Linked DNA regions of Caenorhabditis elegans. The protein of the gene in region 2 purifies or fractionates together with the protein of the main gene of each other region. This does not show direct contact. Each region holds a gene or a part of one and is shown on either strand. Other genes may lie near its edges.

Region 1 (3,389 bases), on a different chromosome or scaffold from region 2:
ATTATTAAAATTTTCATGTTGATTGAATACTATAAAACGTCATTCTCGTGATTCACACTTTCCGAAAACACTTCGAGATAAACGTTGTGCCATAACCCGATAGACATCAAAATATCTAACCGTTTTCCCTGTTTTCGAACTATTCCCCTCTAGATAATTGCCGTAGAGAACCACAGGCACGGATATTTTTTCAATTCGAAAGCGTAACAAATTACAAACCAGTTATGTGTCTCCGCCTAGAACCGATCTCAATTTGGATGTATAAAAACCGTGCTGATAGCTCTGAAAATAACATCATCATTTTTTAAGTTTGGTTTCATATGTTCTTTTCGCAAGCATCTTCTTTCTGTATCTCATCAAAATAAAAAATTAATATTTGTTCAGAAAATGTGCAAACTCTTCGTCGCCGTTGCACTTCTCGCTGTTGCCATCTATGCTGCTCCACCAGTACCACCAAGTGGTAGGAAATTTTTATATTTTGAACTTTGAAAAACTCTGAATCTGATTTTCAGCCGAGGAGGTGAAAGCTCAACTTGTCGCCGCTGGGCTCTCGGAGACTTCTGCCGCAGGAATCGTCGAGGTTGCCGAGAAGTACAAGACTCAACTCGAAGCTCTCAAGGATAACAAGGACGATAAGGAAGCAATAAAGAAGGTTTTCGAGGAGATCAAGACTGACACGGATGCCTACATCAAGACTCAACCAGAAGCTGATCAGAAAGCTTATGCCACCTATATCGAGTCTAAGAAGAAGGAATTCGAGGGACACCACTCTACTCCAGCTCACTAAATATTTTCTGATGTTGTTGCTCGAAATGCACATATATACATTTTCCCTTGACTTTTTGTATTGAATGAATCGAATTTTCTGTTTGAAATGTTGACAAGTCTCTTGTAAAAATTAGAACCTGCCATAAGAAAAGCATGCCTACCTACATGCCTAAAAGACAAACCCTGATCGCCGCGAAGGAGAAGTACATTTTGACAAACCGTGAAAAAACGTTTATTCGGGCCGGAGCATAACACGGTAATGATACATCTATTTCAAGTCCAGTTATTATTGACCTGAAGGTAACTTGTAGACCTGTTGGTGCCTGCAATGACGCCCACCCTGTGTTAATAAATACCAGGTTGAAACTTGATATTATTTTCGCTTCTGTAACTATTATTCCAGCTATTTATCGTTTTAAGTCTGAGCTATTAGCAAAATTAGGAACATGGAATAGCTTAGTATCATTATTATTACTATTATTATTATTTAATACGTTTACATAGATAGATAGAGTAAGTAGGTAGGTAGATAGGTAGGTAGGTAGGTTTTTAAAACAAGGGAAAAAGATTGGGTTGTTCTCGATATTTCACCCGTTACTGTAGTCTTATGTCTGGATGAAGCACATATGGAATGATTCGCGAAATTAAAGTTTTATTTTCAAATAAAAAATGGTTCCATATTCAAAAAAATTGATATTTAAGCACTTTCGGCAGCAGCAGCTTCCTTGTGAGCTTGGAAGTGCTCCTTGGCCTTCTCAACGAATGCTTTGTAAGCGGTCTGATCAGCTTCAGATTGGGTGGCGATGTAGGCATCAGACTCGGACTTCATGCTATCGAAAACTTTCTTTCCAGCTTCATGATCTCCCTTGGTGAGAGCCTGGAATTGGCTCTTGTACTTATCTCCGATTTCAACGAGTCCAGCGGCAGCAGCCTCGGAGACTCCACCCTCAACGAGCTTGGCCTTCATCTCATCAGCTTAAAATTATAAGGGTTTTAAGAAGAACGTTGAAATGAAAAACTTCTACCTGATGGCATTTGATGAGCATAAACGACAGCGAGAAGGGCAACGGCGACGAAAAGTTTGCACATTTTGAAAGTTGGAAGTGAATTGAATTGAAATTACTACAACCTGTCGACTATTTATACGAATCGAATTGTGACGACACGTAGTGGTGATTAGTGGCAAGGCACATTTGACACAAAAACGATTGGTTCTAAAATCCGGTTTGAATATTGAATTGGACTACACACACTCTCACTACAACATGGTTTTTTCAGTTTATGATTTGTTGCCCAACAGTTCAATTCATAGACATTCGCATCAATTGCGGAGGATCAAACGATTTCAGTTTCGAACTTTTCAAAAAATGTGTAACTGAACTTTCTGTTAAATCTGATGTTTTAATATTTTTTGTGGTATGAAAATAATTTTTTCATCAAAAAATTTATTTGAAATTCCCTCCATTTTCTATCGGCTAAACAACACGCGCCGCGTAACGATGGAGCATCGTTGTGCATTTTTCGCGAGATAATTTTTTTTTAATTTTCGTAATTAAAATTTCAACTCTTCCGTGCCTGGTCATTGAAAAATGGTAAGTTTTAAATATTTTTAGAATCAGAAAATAAATTTATAGTTTTTTAAAAGTTTCTCTTCTAATATTCCGCTAATTTTAGCATTTTTAAATCTCACTATTAGTTAAAATAAATATATTCAACAAAAAATTCCGGTGTGCTGTTTAATGCTACATATTATTTTTCAGGCCGACACAAGTCCACGTGAATCCAAACTGAACAAGCAGGATCAAGATCTTCATCTCGAAATTGATGAAACTGGATTAGCCTGCAAAAGTGAAGTGAAGAAAAGATGGCTCGGAGCACGTGGAACAGCCGGATTATATGGAAATGGAAAGTATTACTATGAAGTTACAATTACAAGTAAAGGACTGTGCAGAGTTGGCTGGGCTACTCTCGGTGGAAGTTTGAATATTGGTAATACTTTTTTGCATTGTGCAAAATTATTCTTTATTCCAATTAAAATGTTCCAGGTAAAGGACTGGATAGTTTCGGTTATGGTGGGACTGGAATGAAGTCAACCCACAAAAAGTTCGATGATTATGGTCTCCCATTCACTCTGAACGATGTGATCGGTTGCTATCTTGACCTGGATTCCCGTACCATCTGGTGGTCAAAAAATGGAGAACAATTTCCCGCCGCTTTTTCCATCGATGTGAAATACAAAAACTCGAACACGTGTCTCTTCCCGGCGGTCTTATGTCAAAACTCAAGCCTCTCAGTCAACTTTGGATCTCAACCGTTCAAATTTCCCCCGGGAAATCAGTTTACTGCGGTTTCCGATGCTCCAAATGAAAATGTGAATTGGTGGAGCTATGAGGAGCAAAACTCATTCGAACATGTAGTGGTGAAACTACCGTTTGCAGTAGAAGAAGATGTTCATAATGAGTTCAGAATGCATACCAAACTGATGCTCACTGAAGTAATTTAAAGTGGAAAATAAAGGTTTTTGAATTTTCAATTTACAGCTAAAGAGGACTCAATGCAAGCAGGACAAGGATGGATCTATTCGAAGAACTCTTCAGCCGATCAGCAAGTATGGGTGTTTC
Region 2 (3,933 bases):
TTGCAAATCAGAAATACGCAAATCTACACAGTGCAAATACTGAGCGTGGTTTGAAATGCAAAATATAGGCGGTAGGTATTTAGGCACGTAAACATGCACACCTACTTAGCAATAGCTACTTCGAATATAAATTTGAAAAACTTAATTGAAGAAATTTAAAAAATGTTATGTTTCCAGGGATGTGAACGCGTTTCCGAATATCAAATTCCACAAGAAAAAATCGGAGAGGTCTATGACATGACTTATGTTACCCTTGATATTATTGTTCATGGAGAGAAGACCATCTGCAACTAATTATGATTTTTTTGTTTCAACTCATATAATTGTATGTACATAAATTCGTATTTTACCCTAAAACGTTTTGAACTATTTCTGGTTTTTGTTTTTAATTGATTCGGAGTACAACCCCCTGCCAACTGACGAAAGAGAAACTTCGGGATTCCGGAATGATTGGGCAGTGGAGTGGAGTGGAAAAAATATGTTCAGGAAGGTTGAAAAATACGTCGAGAGAAGGTTACGTAAGAAGTCAAAAGAAAGAAACAATTGAAGAGTGACAAATAGAACGAGGACAAAAAAATAATTTTCTTGTCGAAAAGAAGTATAACTTTTAAATTTGGTCTATTTTGATACCTTCCACAGAAAGAGTAAATTCAGAAAATAAATATATATAATAAAAGTTAAAAATTTCCAGAATCGTTTTGTGTGACATCGGCAACTACCGCAGCTTTCCAGATTTCAAGTTTTTCTGAAGATTCTAGTTACGCAGATCTGACATTTTAAAATTGTTGTTCTTTCAGCATTGGAATAAAAAATGCTCAACTTATAAAAGGTAAACCTATACAGTTAGAAAATGATATAGTGCTGGCTGCACACCAAGCTGTAACACGATCGTGTATATGTTCTTCTGGATATCTGACTTGTTTTTCGTTGATGTTTCAATTTTTGTGAATCATCGTTCTTTGTTACTCGAAGTCCGGGAAATCTGGGCATTGCAGTAGAAAGTGGAAAAAATACTATATTAAAAAACATAGGTCAGTACTTAATTGAACCCCTCGAGAAATAAAACAAAATTCATTAAAAATAAGTTTGAACTGTTTATGAATTTATATATAATTTAAAACCTCATTTTAATGTTCAGAAAGCTGAATTAGAACTTCGAAACTATGAAATCATGAAACAGTGCTAAACGAAGAAACCCTCCAGTTTTTGTTGTGATGTTTAAAATTTTATATATTGTCTGACGCATTCACATTTCAAACATAAAATTCTGAGATTCAATTAGAGGGATCAATCACCAACTGGCAATAACATCAGAGACTGATCTCAAACTTTAGTGTTCGAAGGATTATCAGAAACTCAAATTGCTCTTTGTGAACATTGATTTCAATATCGATTATGTTTTTGAAAATTGTTTTGCATGCATCTAATCTTGTAAACATATCAATAATCAAGTGTACAAAATGATCATTACAGCTTTGTTTGTTTGTTTGAAAGACTGGAAGCGGATATCACTACATCCCACGTAACATCACAAAAACTATTAGCCTGAAAACGAAAAAAAATTCCAGTTGAAATATAGAAATCAATCCAATCTGAATGTATTGTCAATAATAAATATTGTGAATCAAACGGAAACGTAATATAAAAGGTACAGCGTGAGCCTGTAATATGACAGCTGAAACTGTACCGATTTTCGATAAGGTATTTCGCAGACGCACGCCTCCCCTCCTATAGCCCGGAAAACGCCTCCGATAAATATGATTTTAGATAAAATTAGAAAAAAAATTAGGGTTAACATGTAGGCGCCAAACGCATGCCTGACATTAAGGCGACGGGCCTCCCTCACGCCTCAACTCGCGCTTTCTGCCAAAATGCAGAAAACCCTGATACCACACCCTTCTCCCATGGAACTCCTATGTGGATCTGATTATCAGAAAAGAAAACTTCCGTATGTGCACAAGATATTCTGAATCCAATTCCTCCCCCGTATAAAAAATGAGTCATAATTATATTTTGAAATCTTGATTTTGTTTTTCAAGCTTGCCAACCCATTATCTAATCCCTGATTACTTGTTGTTGTTTCTGATTCAAGTTCTCATGTTGTCTCATGGCTGGCTGTTGGACACGCCAATTGGCTCTCGTTTCTTTGATTCTATTGGTTGATTGAAGGGGGGACAACACCTGACGTTAATCTCCAAATCTCAATATAAATAGTGAGCCCCAACACGACGCCAGTCACCTCAACAACTTATTGTTGAAAATGCGCTCGCTCGTCGTGTGTCTCTTGCTCGCCGCTTGTGCTCTTGAATGCACAGCCCGTCTTCAGAATGTTACTGTTAAGGGAGTTGCCGTGTGCAATAAGAAGAGATTGGCAAATGTTGAAGTTCAACTCTATGAGAAGGACACCCGTAAGTTCATTGATAGAACTTTTCTATAAATGTATTTGTATTTTTCAGTTGACCCAGATGATCTTTTGGACACCAAGAAAACTGATGCTGAAGGAGAATTCAGCGTTTACGGAGAAGAAGATGAGACTCATGCTATTGCCCCATACCTTTTGATTACCCATAGCTGCAACCCATCTAAGCCAGTAAGTCAAAATAAATAATGGAATATATTTATTAAAATAATTCCAGAACTGTGTCCGCATCGGAAGGTACTTGGTGCCAGAGGACAAGATCGGAGGAACCTACGACATGACCTACGTCACCCTCGACATCAAGGTTCACGGAGAGAAGGAAAAATGCCAGTAAAAAGTGCAAACTTCCTGGATTTTATTGACTATCTAAATATATATTTTTTCTATATGATTTTTCTCAATTTTCCATTAATAAAAACATGAAATAAATGTTTAGTTTTTTCAACGAGGACCTGAAGAGACTAGGGATCAAAGGAAATTACAAAAACGATGCAAATATTGTACCCGTTGGAAATCGAGGAGTTGAACTGGCAAAATTATACAAATTGTCACAGGAACTGAGAGGGAGAGTGAGAGAACTATAGAACATTTGGGTGGGATATAATAGGGTGCCAAATGCAATCTATAAAACATGTAGAACGATATGAAAATAGAGGAAAAAAGAGAAAGCGAAAAAATTTGAAGAGACCAGAGATGTTTGAGCAGTGGTAAATCACAATTATAGCACAGAGAAGTTGATGAAAAAAGAAAAAGATAAGACAAAATAAGGAAACAAATTATAATTTCATGTGTGTCGAATCATTGGTTCACATGTTGCTGGTGATCCTTGTTCTCCAGAACTTCGAGACGGGGATCGAAAATTCTGAAACTTTCAAATGAGTAATCATTTTATTATTCAGAGGTTAGATTTTGCGATTTTTGCACAAATAATACGATACCAGGTTGAACTGCGTCTTTTAAGATTACTGTAATCATTTTCCAAAAAATAAACAAATGGATGTAACCCGAAAAATGTATTGTATTATAATCAATGAAAATTTCGTAGCAACGAGGGGTTGCAAAAGACAGTAATCTTTAAAGGCGCAATTCCGCTTGCAGTTAAAGGCGGAGTACAGTCATTTTTAAAAATGTGATCTAAATGAAAAAGGACCGTAATAAACAGATATAACTGCTAAAAAAGTAATGAAAAAACATTTGAGGGATAATTATTTTTGAATTTGCGACTAACCTGGATTCGACATTTTCACTTTTATGAATAAATTCGTTGGTTTTTCTCAATTTTTTTTTTCAATATTTGATTTGAATTACTGTTTCTCAATTTTTCAGACAATTCTCCGCGCAAAAAATATTAATTTAAGTTAAATTATCGATATTTTTGCCAAACTAGTAATTTCAACGAATTTCTTTCGGGGGTTATTTCAAGTTTACGGGAAATTGTCTGAAAAATTGACAAACGGTGTTTACATCAAATATTGAAAAATTAGAAAATATTTTCCAGAAATCATTCCATCATT
Region 3 (5,711 bases), on a different chromosome or scaffold from region 2:
CAGCGAGTCGTCGAGAACGATGGTGACGTCGCTCGGATCCTGAAATGAAACACATCACTGCTAAGCGAAAAAGAAAAAGCAGAGGACTAGAGATCTACCAATCGGAATGAAAGAAATCAACTTACCCTTCGAGAAGCTTCTGGAGCTGTAGCTGGAGCCGATGATGTCGAAGCTGGAGCTGTAGCTTTTGGAGCTGAGACCGCCGAAGCAGGCTTCGATGGAGCGGCTCTTTGAACTTTCCCAGCGACTTTCTTCTGAGCGATAGCCTCGGCCTTGGCTGCCTTCGCAGGGGCTCCTCTTGGTGGCGCTGGTGCAGATTTCGCTGGAATTGGAGCTCTAATCGGAGCCTTCGATGCTGAAGCGGCCTTCGGTGGTGCAGTTGCTCTCGGTGGAACGGCTGTTCTGGTAGCAGGAGCTGCACTTCGTGTAGTCGTCGGACAAGCTGGGCCTGTTGGAGCACGAGAAGTCAACGCTCTGGGGGCACTGACTGCAGGGATTGCTGGACGAGTTCTTGCGGCGCCGGTTGTAGATGCAGATCTAGTAGATGGTTTTCCGGCAACAGGTCGTGGAACGGCAGGAGCAGGAATATCCAACAACGCATCCTTCGACTTCACGGTGGGCGCGTTGAGGAATGGAAGTGATTTCGCTGCCTTGTCGAGCGATTGTTGGATCCTCGCAAGTGAGCTCGTCCCCGAAATAAGCACTCTGACCGCCGATTGATCCGTCATCGCAGGCCTCCAGAGCAGGACGGCGATGGTTCCATTCTCAGCGGCCGCCTTCTCCACTTCTGCCTCGTTTCCTCCTGCCAACGCCTTTGTGATCACTTCGGAGTCTTTGACGTCTCCAGCCAGAATATACATGGAGAGAACTCCTTTTGCAGCTGACTGGTATATGATGTGTGCCGGATATTTCGGGCTGAACAGTGGCGGTGCAACGGAGAGAAGCTTCGAGTTCGCTTCTTGAATTGCTTTGGCAATCTCTCCACTGCTTCCCGGCTTGGCAGTCTTGAACGGCTTCGTGTTGGTGAACACCGGCAACGGTTTTCCCTGAAAAAAGTAGATTATCAAAATTTTCATTAAAGTTTCTACAAACCTGTTCCAACAGAGCAGACGTGGTTCCGAGGTTACCAAGCGTCGGCGCGGCGAGCAGCACGGCAGAGACGTCCCTGACGTGAGCCACGAATCCTGGGCTTTTTTCGGCGAATCCCCCATCGAGAATGTAGACGCCGTCAAAATCAAACAAGGTGGCTGTGTTGGCCGCACCGCCCAAGACGTAGACGCATGCCTTCGACGACATGATGTATTCTTCCGGCATCTGGAAAGAAGGAGTAATTTTCAACAGTTTTAAGCACGTATACGTAGAAAATGAAAGAGAACGCTGAAAGATTGAATTATGGCGAATTTTATGCCAAAATAATTACAAAAACCCTAATTTCGGAGTTTTTCGCGCTTTTCTGTAGACTTAAGTTCATTTTTCAACCATATTAGCGACTAAAAATGTTCAAAAACTAATCAAAAATGTGAAATAAACGACAAAATTATAGGGAAAATGCAAAAGCTTCTTGGCTGCTGACAAAATTGCAGATTTTTTAGGATTTACAAAAAAAAGGTTTCAGTGGGCGGTGCCAATTCGCAACCACCGCACGCTCATTTCGCAAGCCTCGCACGTTTTTTCAGTGATCTTTTTAAATACCTTTTTTAAAGAAAAACGCGCGAGAATAAACAAATAAACAAATAAACAAAAACGAGACAGAAAAACACGAATGAGCTCTCTCGCCGCCTTATATAGCGCGGTGAGAGACGCAGAGAATGCAGGGAAATCAGAATACGACCGCTGCCGCCGTGGATCAAGATCACTAGTGATATCAGTCTCCTCTTTGTTTGATCTACCAGTAGAAGTGCAGAGCGCCTGCGATGGGTGGATTTTTTTCATTTTCAACTTTTTCAATGTCGCTGAATCAATACGTCATTTCTATTGGAAGCTAGTCTTTTTGGTTATTTTTTAGATTAAGTTTGAGTCTTGCGGTGCTCGAAAAACTCAAAATCTTTTTAAATCCACTGGTATATATATATTGGGAGAATTGAACTCTGTGCATTTTTCCGTCACTGTGTTCGCGTACTTTTAAGTTTTTATGGCGGCAGCGGCGCCATGTTCAGATGTTTTTTTATATGTTTTGTGATCTTTTCATCATTTTCTTGAAGAATTTGCAGATTTTTTTTCATTTTCAGTGAATTTTTCTTAATAAAAACTTTTTTTTTCCATTTAGATTGGATTTCTCCGCATTTTCTTCGGCGAAACAAGAGATTCTCTGTTTTTATTGCATTCTAAAAACGTTAAGCCAACAATCAATATTTTGTCGTGTTTCTTGTTTTCCATCTCCTTGTTTTTAGAGTTTTAAAGTAGGAAACGTGTTAAATAAGTGCAGTTTTTTGTGTCTATCTATTTTCCAAATGAACATTTCTGTAATTAGAGAGAAGCTGCCACACACAGCGTTATGAATAATTATTTTCTTATCTTTGCGCCGTGTATTATCACTTTTTGAATTGTTTTCCACCGGAGAATCGTTTATTTAATTTTGATCATTATTTTCAGTACGATGACCATCACTGCTCCACCAAAAGACGAGATTATCTCAAAGTTTCCGGGCTCTGAGCCACTTCTCAACTTTTACAATGAGCTCTCGGATGCCGAAAAATCGAAGCTTTTCCACCAAATTTCAACTCTAAACCTTTCGGAAGCTCATCAATGGTTCATTGATTCAGCGGATCAACGGGCTCCATCAACTGCGGAAGACCTTAAGCCGGTTCTTGATTCTCAGCATTTTGTACAAGCTGAATTGCATCAAGTGGTAGAGACTTTTAATATTTAGGTAAAACCATCATTAAAATTACATTATTTTCAGATCCTCGATGGTCTCTGGAACAAGGGAATGGATGCTATTGGACGTGGAGAAGTATGTGCAATTGTGCTCGCCGGTGGACAAGCTACACGTCTTGGATCAAGTCAACCGAAAGGAACGATTCCATTGGGAATTAACGCTTCATTTGGAGATTCTCTTTTGGGAATTCAAGCTGCCAAAATTGCACTTCTTCAGGCTCTCGCTGGAGAACGGGAGCATCAGAATCCGGGAAAAATTCACTGGGCAGTTATGACGTCACCTGGAACAGAGGAGGCTACTCGTGAGCATGTGAAGAAACTGGCGGCTCATCATGGATTCGATTTCGATGAACAAATTACTATTTTCTCACAAGATGAAATTGCTGCATACGATGAGCAGGGAAACTTCCTTCTCGGAACTAAAGGATCTGTTGTTGCTGCTCCAAGTATGAGTTTTTACGCAATTCGTGTACTCCTCGAGGAAAACTGTTTTTACGAATTTTTCAGCTATAATTCTGACTTTTTGATTATTTTTTAATCTTCAAAACGAAAAATTATATGACATTTAAAGTATTTTCGGTGTCAATATTGAAAGCAGTATTAATTGCATGGATTTTCACCCAAAACACACTAAAAATATAAATTAGTTGACGATTTGAATTTAAAAAATATCTAAAATTAAGTATTTTATCCGAATACTTAAAAATTTCGTACAAAAAAATAATTATTCTTTCTCGGGGAGTACACCAGCTGCGTAAATCGACACAAAAATTTTAAAAAATGAGTTTTTCAACGAAAAAAAAATCGAATTTTCAATATTTTAAAGATAATGTGTTCTCATCAAACTCAACTTTTTTTAGAACATAAAATCTAGACTTTTTTCTGGATTTCAAAAAAAGAAAATTATCGATTTTCTCACAAAAAACCGAAAAATCATATTTTTTTTCAGACGGCAACGGAGGTCTCTACTCTGCCATCTCTGCTCATTTGCCACGTCTTCGCGCGAAAGGAATCAAATATTTCCATGTGTATTGTGTGGACAACATTCTGTGCAAAGTTGCCGACCCTCATTTCATCGGATTCGCCATTTCAAACGAAGCTGACGTTGCAACCAAGTGTGTTCCGAAGCAAAAAGGAGAACTCGTCGGATCAGTTTGTCTTGATAGAGGACTACCACGTGTCGTTGAATATTCGGAGCTTGGAGCCGAGTTGGCTGAACAAAAGACACCGGATGGAAAATATTTGTTTGGTGCAGGATCTATTGCAAATCACTTTTTCACGATGGATTTCATGGATAGGTTTGTAATTTCAAATTTGGAGAAAAAGCTTAATTTTAAAATAAATACAGAGTCTGCTCTCCATCATCTCGTCTTCCATATCATCGTGCTCACAAGAAGATTTCCTATGTGAATGAGCAGGGAACCATTGTCAAACCGGAAAAACCAAATGGTATCAAGCTGGAGCAGTTTATTTTCGACGTCTTCGAGCTCTCGAAGCGATTTTTCATTTGGGAGGTGGCGAGGAACGAAGAGTTTTCTCCATTGAAAAATGCTCAATCTGTTGGAACTGATTGTTTGAGCACTTGTCAGAGAGATTTGTCCAGTGAGTAGATTTTTCTGTGAATTCAGAATTAAAATTGATTTAAAAACTGATTTTCAGATGTGAACAAGTTGTGGCTGGAACGTGTTCAAGCGAAAGTGACTGCAACTGAAAAGCCGATCTACTTGAAGACAATTGTCTCCTACAACGGAGAGAATCTTCAAGAACTCCGTCATCGTGAAATTTCTGATAGTGCCTTGGAATCCGATCATTCGATTAACAAATTCTTTGTTGTCTAGTCTTCTTTTGTTTCATATTTATACTGATTGCCCTACTCATTCCCCTATCATTTCCCAGCCAACTGTGTTTTATTTATGTTAAAATCCCCGTGATGCTTTCAAATTTCCTTCGGTATTTTCCCCAAAAACCGTAGTTATTAGGCCGATATTATTGCTTGACATCCATTTGTTTTAAATTTCTTAAATTTTCGTAAACTGAAACGAGTTCGAATACAGATTTTGTAAATACTAAAAATGTTAGAATGAGTTGGTACAATTTTATAAATTTAAAAATGACAATTTATTAAAAAAAAAAGTTATCCTTGGAAATGTGCCTTCTGTTGGGAGGATGTATTTAGTCATTAATTTCCTGAAAAGAGCAATAATTTAAACAAGCAAATAACAAAAATTAAAAAAAAAAAACTTACCTAATAGGCCTGCCACGCGGGACTTGTTAGCACCGGATCCAATTCGAAGGCAATCTTCCTCTTCTTGTGCATCTGAGCCACCGTGGCTGTCGAAGATGTCGCAGTAGAAGCTGCTATCCGAACATTCTCCAGACTCTGTAGATCCACCGAAACCACTTTGGATGATGGCTTCTCTGTCGTTCTTCGCCTTTGTTCCCATTTAAGCTCACGCTCTAATATCTCGAATTTCTCCTTCAAAGTCCACTCGGGAGCATCAAAGGGACTTAGCACCGGTTTCCAAAAGTTTCCTGATTCGAATAGAAGAAGAATATTCAAAAACTATTCAGTAGTAATTAAATATAAATAATTAATAAAATCAAAGTGAGAGAGCCTGTACACAAAAGCTCGATGAAAAGTATGAATGAATAATTGTGGGGTACGGAGGACAGTGTTAAACTAGAGATTAGAGACACAGACTGTTTTATATAAACAAAAAAGTATTGGTCACATTGTTACATTGTTTGAAAGAACATTTGAACGAGATTCTGAGCGTTTTTAAATTTTTGCAGCTAAAAATACGGTACCCGGTTTCGACGCGACAATCATTTGT
Region 4 (4,254 bases), on a different chromosome or scaffold from region 2:
GGAGTCATTCTTTTTTATTTCATAAAACTGTTTAGCATAGTCAAAAATACCAGAATATGCTAATCAAAGTATATTAGCTTGTACGGAAGTTTTTTTTTTTTAATGATAAAAATATATAAAAGCTGGTTTTTTTCAAAAATTCAAAAGTCCTGGAAAGTCATATGGAGTCATTCTTTTTTATTTCAGAAAACTGTTTAGCATAGTCAAAAATACCAAAAAATGCCAATCAAGTATAATAGCTTGTACGAAAGTTTTTTTTAAAATTACATTTTTAGCACATTTTTAGCACATTTTTAGCACATTTCAAGCACATTTCTAGCACATTTTTAGCACATTTCAAGCACATTTTTAGCACATTTTTAGCACATTTTTAGCACATTTTTAGCACATTTTCAGCACATTTTTAGCACATTAATGGCACTTTTTTTTGTATGATAGAACATGTAGAATATAGGTGCTAAGTGATCTTTATCTCTGCATAAATAATTGAAACAAAATTAATGTGTAAAAATAGTAGAAAATTTTTTTGGTCCACTTTCAAAATTATGAGTGGCAATAACGGAGTCACTTTTCAACAGTAAATGAACAATTTTCCAAAATTATTGATATTTGGTCCTTTTGGCACCATAGGCGTAGTTTTTTGCCAATTTCCCACTGGTGCTACTCAACGTTTAGATGAAATCACATAAAGAAAACGACAACTGTAGTTTAAATAATGGTTGTTGCAGAATTTGGCAGCGAGATCATACTCTAGTGTTAAGTTTCTTACCTCAACATGTTCATTTTTTAATCTGTAGAAAATTAAAAACTAATAATTGGGATAATACATTCCACCAAGATTCCAAATTGAAAACATCAGAAGATTGCTTGAAAATAAATTTATTTTTTTCGGAAATGAAATTGAATTGCAAATTTAAGAAAATTTCAATAGAATAAGTTTAAACTTTTATGGGAGTCTCTTGTAGAATCTGCGGCCTTCGATATTGTTGAAGCTCATCTTCTGTAATTAACAAAAATGTATGTCAAATAGATTGACCAAATTTTACCTGAATAAGAAAATCTCCATCAAAGTAATACTCATAGGTTTCTTCCTTGGATTCTCCCTCTTCAAGTGGCTTGTGATGTTCGAACAAGTGTCCGTCCTTGAGAGTGAAGGTAACCTGAAAATTATAATTGAAATAAAAATAAAATAAAAAGTACATGGCATGGAACTCACCTCGTGCTTGGTGTTATCAAGACCCTCTCCTTCGAACTTGCTTCCGATCTGGACGTTTTTGTAGAACACATCTTTTTTCGATGTCAAGTTGGAGTAGTCGAAGAGGTTTTTGTTAGCATTCTTGGCAAAAACCTTCTTGAATGTCGCAAAGGTTACAAGCTTTCGAGTGAACCATCCGTATCCTTTGGCAGTGAGGTACTCATCAAAATTTTCAGAGTGATCCAAGTCGAAGGTTCCATAGAACTTTTCTGGAAGCTGTTCGGCAGCCACAAGGGTAGCTCCACAAAATGCGAGTAAGATGAGGAATTTCGAAGACATTTTTGTTCAAGTCAATGACTGAATGACTGAAGTGTCCACAGAAATGAAGATTGATCAAGACTCCGCCCAGTTGCTCAATCGACAACACAATAAAACTGAGGTCAGCCACGTGTGTAATATAGGGTCACGGCACGGATGGCAACAACAAATTGATGATCGGACTTACTTGATTTTCAAAAATCCTCACAACACCTGGAAGCTAATAATAAACAAAATTTAAGAGACCGAACGAAAACAATTCATCGATTACTTGTTGAAATGCAGAATGAATTTTGTCGAAATAAATTTAAACGCGTTAAGAAAATTGAAAAGAAAACTGCTACGTTTTTTGACTGCACATCAAACAATTTAAGACTTAAAAAAATATTTTTAATGAGGTCCTCAAGATCCAATGATTTTAGTTATTAAACTATGTATTTTGAGAAATGGTTCTTATTTAATGGTACCTTATTCAGAAATTAAATGTGAAAATCAGGAAAAAAAAAATAAAAAAGAGCATACGAAAGAGTAGAAAAAACTCCATTTTATAGAAAACTTTCGAACACAACATCGAAAAAAAAAAACCGAAAAGTGATTGGATTTTGACCCACCCGAAATTTTAAACTGGTTGTGTCCTTTTTGTGTTTTGAATTACGTTTTTGCAAATATCACGGCGCAATCGAACTTTCATGTTTTGATTCCAGCATAGGTTCAATTCATCTGATAATTTGATTCTTAATTTCAAGTCTTCAATGTGCAAAATTTTCTTTTTAACACTTGTGTCACTTTTACACGTTAACAAAAATTCAAATTTTAATCAACTTTGCTTTCTAGAACTCCTAATATGTACATTTTTAAACCAGTGAAAACATTTCCCAAACAAAAAACTTCAGAGGGCTATGCAGCATGAATCACAAAAGAACCGCGTTATTTTTCTTATTTTTTGCCCCATATCACATTACAGAATCGATCTAACTTTTCAGTTTATTTGAAACTTGAAATACATCAGTGGCAAAAAAAGTACATTGAGAAATCAATTCATACAAAAATTACAATAGTTTCTGAATATTTATGGGAGTCGTTTGTAGAATCGGCGTCCCTCAACTCCATTGAAACTCATGCGCTGAAAATTACAATCATGAGAATGTGAAATTGGTTTTTAAAAAATGTTTATAACTTACCACAAGAAGGAATTCCTTATCGAAAAGGTACTCGTAGGTCTCTTCCTTGGCGTCTCCTCCCTCGAGTGGCTTGTGATGCTCAAACAAATGTCCGTCCTTGAGGGTGAAAGTGATCTGAAAATTAATTAATTAATCAATTTGAAAGGTTACTTGAAAACTTGCAAAAGCGTACCTCGTGTTTGGTGCTGTCAAGTCCTTCTCCCTGGAAGGCTTTTCCAAGTTGGACATTCTTGTAATGGACGTCTTTCTTTGATGTCAAGTTGGAGTAGTCAAAGAGGTTCTTGTTGGAAGTCTTAGTGAACACCTTTTTGAATGTGGCAAAAGTGACAAGTTTACGAGTGAACCATCCGTATCCTTTAGCAGTGAGATACTCATCAAAATTTTCGGAATGGTCCAAGTCAAAAGTTCCATAGAACTTATCAGGGAGAACAGCAGCTGAAGCAGCTCCAACAAGAACCAGGAGAAGAGCGATTTTAGCGCACATGGTTGGCTAGGTCGATGAATGAACGACTGACGTCTTGGCAGGACTGTGGGCTGTGTGTCGACGTCGTCTGCGTGGACCCCGCCTACTTGCACAGTCGTAAACAACATTGTACGGCAAGAAGTGCAGCCCACATGTCGATTGCGCTGACGATTAGCAGAGATGGACGGCTGGACTCGGATGGGTATCGAAAGAGAGTGTAGCATAAATGATTCGGGGCAGATTTTTTTTGTTCCGTGTGTTGGGGTCAGTTCGGATATTTTTGAAGAGAGTAGTTGCATGAATCGGGTCCTGGAAGACCGAACAATCAACTCAAAATAATTTCGTTGAAGGTTTAAGGCGAATCGAATTGCAATTTCCTTATTTGGTTGATATAATTTTATGTTATCATTATCTTTCATAGTCTATAGTATGATTCTCCATTTCTTCAGCAAACATTGAATACGGCAACAGGTCTTCAGGTCTGCAGTTCAAAACACAATCCATGCAGGGCTGGGACTTTGGAAAACCAAAAAAAACTACCGGAAAAAATTATGAAAATTTTTATTCATATAGAATTCGACCCACAGAAAAAGAAAACGACTTCAGAAAAAAAGTTTTTTTGCCGCAGAATTTCGGTACATTCGGTTTTGGGTTTTTTTGGTTTCAAAATGAAAACGAAAAAATATTGTAAGGATCCCATAAAACACAATTTTTCAAAAATATTTTTAAACTTTCAACACTAGCTAAAATTTTTAAGACACAAAATTGTTTTTTTTTCTGGTTTTCAAATGTTTGAGCCCTATTCCCAGATGACAGAATTCATATTAGAGATCATTGTTTTCCAGATGGCCTTTCCCGTAAATTGGCCAATACGATTCTCACGTTTTATTGGGCTACAATAGACCCATCTACTTTGTACCTTGGCTAATCTGTTCTATGTCCACTTTCGATGTTTGACCTCCATCTGTTCATTCGTTTTTTTTTGTGAGATCATGCAATTTTTGAAAATGGCAGAGCAAGTCTAAAGGGACAATTGTTTATTTAAAAGGACAGAAAAAATAAACATCTGTGATTAATAATGTGAAGAGCTCAGTTTT

What was found.
Region 1: the proteins of ttr-16 (region 2) and spig-1 fractionate together in Caenorhabditis elegans (co-fractionation; one large-scale study listed by BioGRID). This does not show direct contact.
Region 3: the proteins of ttr-16 (region 2) and C36A4.4 fractionate together in Caenorhabditis elegans (co-fractionation; one large-scale study listed by BioGRID). This does not show direct contact.
Region 4: the proteins of ttr-16 (region 2) and lbp-2 fractionate together in Caenorhabditis elegans (co-fractionation; one large-scale study listed by BioGRID). This does not show direct contact.

What each region holds. Positions count from the first base shown.
Region 1 is NC_003283.11:7,050,196-7,053,584, reverse strand, and holds spig-1 (DUF4473 domain-containing protein), read right to left. Parts: upstream 1,871-3,389; 5' UTR 1,858-1,870; coding exon 1,794-1,857; intron 1,744-1,793; coding exon 1,466-1,743; 3' UTR 1,406-1,465; downstream 1-1,405. Other genes in the region: txt-17 (transcellular chaperone signaling (x)cross tissue), read left to right, coding at 388-460, 513-787; tofu-2 (Schlafen-like protein 2), read left to right, coding at 2,358-2,360, 2,529-2,757, 2,814-3,262, 3,309-3,376.
Region 2 is NC_003282.8:11,062,442-11,066,374, reverse strand, and holds ttr-16 (Transthyretin-like protein 16), read left to right. Parts: upstream 1-2,237; 5' UTR 2,238-2,260; coding exon 2,261-2,408; intron 2,409-2,456; coding exon 2,457-2,590; intron 2,591-2,606; exon of another isoform or gene 2,607-2,636; coding exon 2,637-2,753; 3' UTR 2,754-2,845; downstream 2,846-3,933. Other genes in the region: ttr-17 (Transthyretin-like family protein), read left to right, coding at 178-294; Protein lin-3, read right to left, coding at 3,204-3,281.
Region 3 is NC_003281.10:3,840,496-3,846,206, reverse strand, and holds C36A4.4 (putative UDP-N-acetylglucosamine pyrophosphorylase), read left to right. Parts: upstream 1-2,592; 5' UTR 2,593-2,596; coding exon 2,597-2,848; intron 2,849-2,902; coding exon 2,903-3,323; intron 3,324-3,826; coding exon 3,827-4,175; intron 4,176-4,225; coding exon 4,226-4,479; intron 4,480-4,536; coding exon 4,537-4,715; 3' UTR 4,716-4,961; downstream 4,962-5,711. Other genes in the region: maph-1.3 (Microtubule-associated protein futsch), read right to left, coding at 1-39, 126-1,046, 1,093-1,314; C36A4.11 (uncharacterized protein), read right to left, coding at 5,057-5,064, 5,123-5,321.
Region 4 is NC_003284.9:3,258,082-3,262,335, reverse strand, and holds lbp-2 (Fatty acid-binding protein homolog 2), read right to left. Parts: upstream 1,727-4,254; 5' UTR 1,535-1,726; coding exon 1,217-1,534; intron 1,161-1,216; coding exon 1,047-1,160; intron 1,001-1,046; coding exon 947-1,000; 3' UTR 866-946; downstream 1-865. Other genes in the region: lbp-1 (Fatty acid-binding protein homolog 1), read right to left, coding at 2,583-2,636, 2,695-2,808, 2,867-3,178. UniProt on the Caenorhabditis elegans protein: May play a role in sequestering potentially toxic fatty acids and their peroxidation products, or it may be involved in the maintenance of the impermeable lipid layer of the eggshell.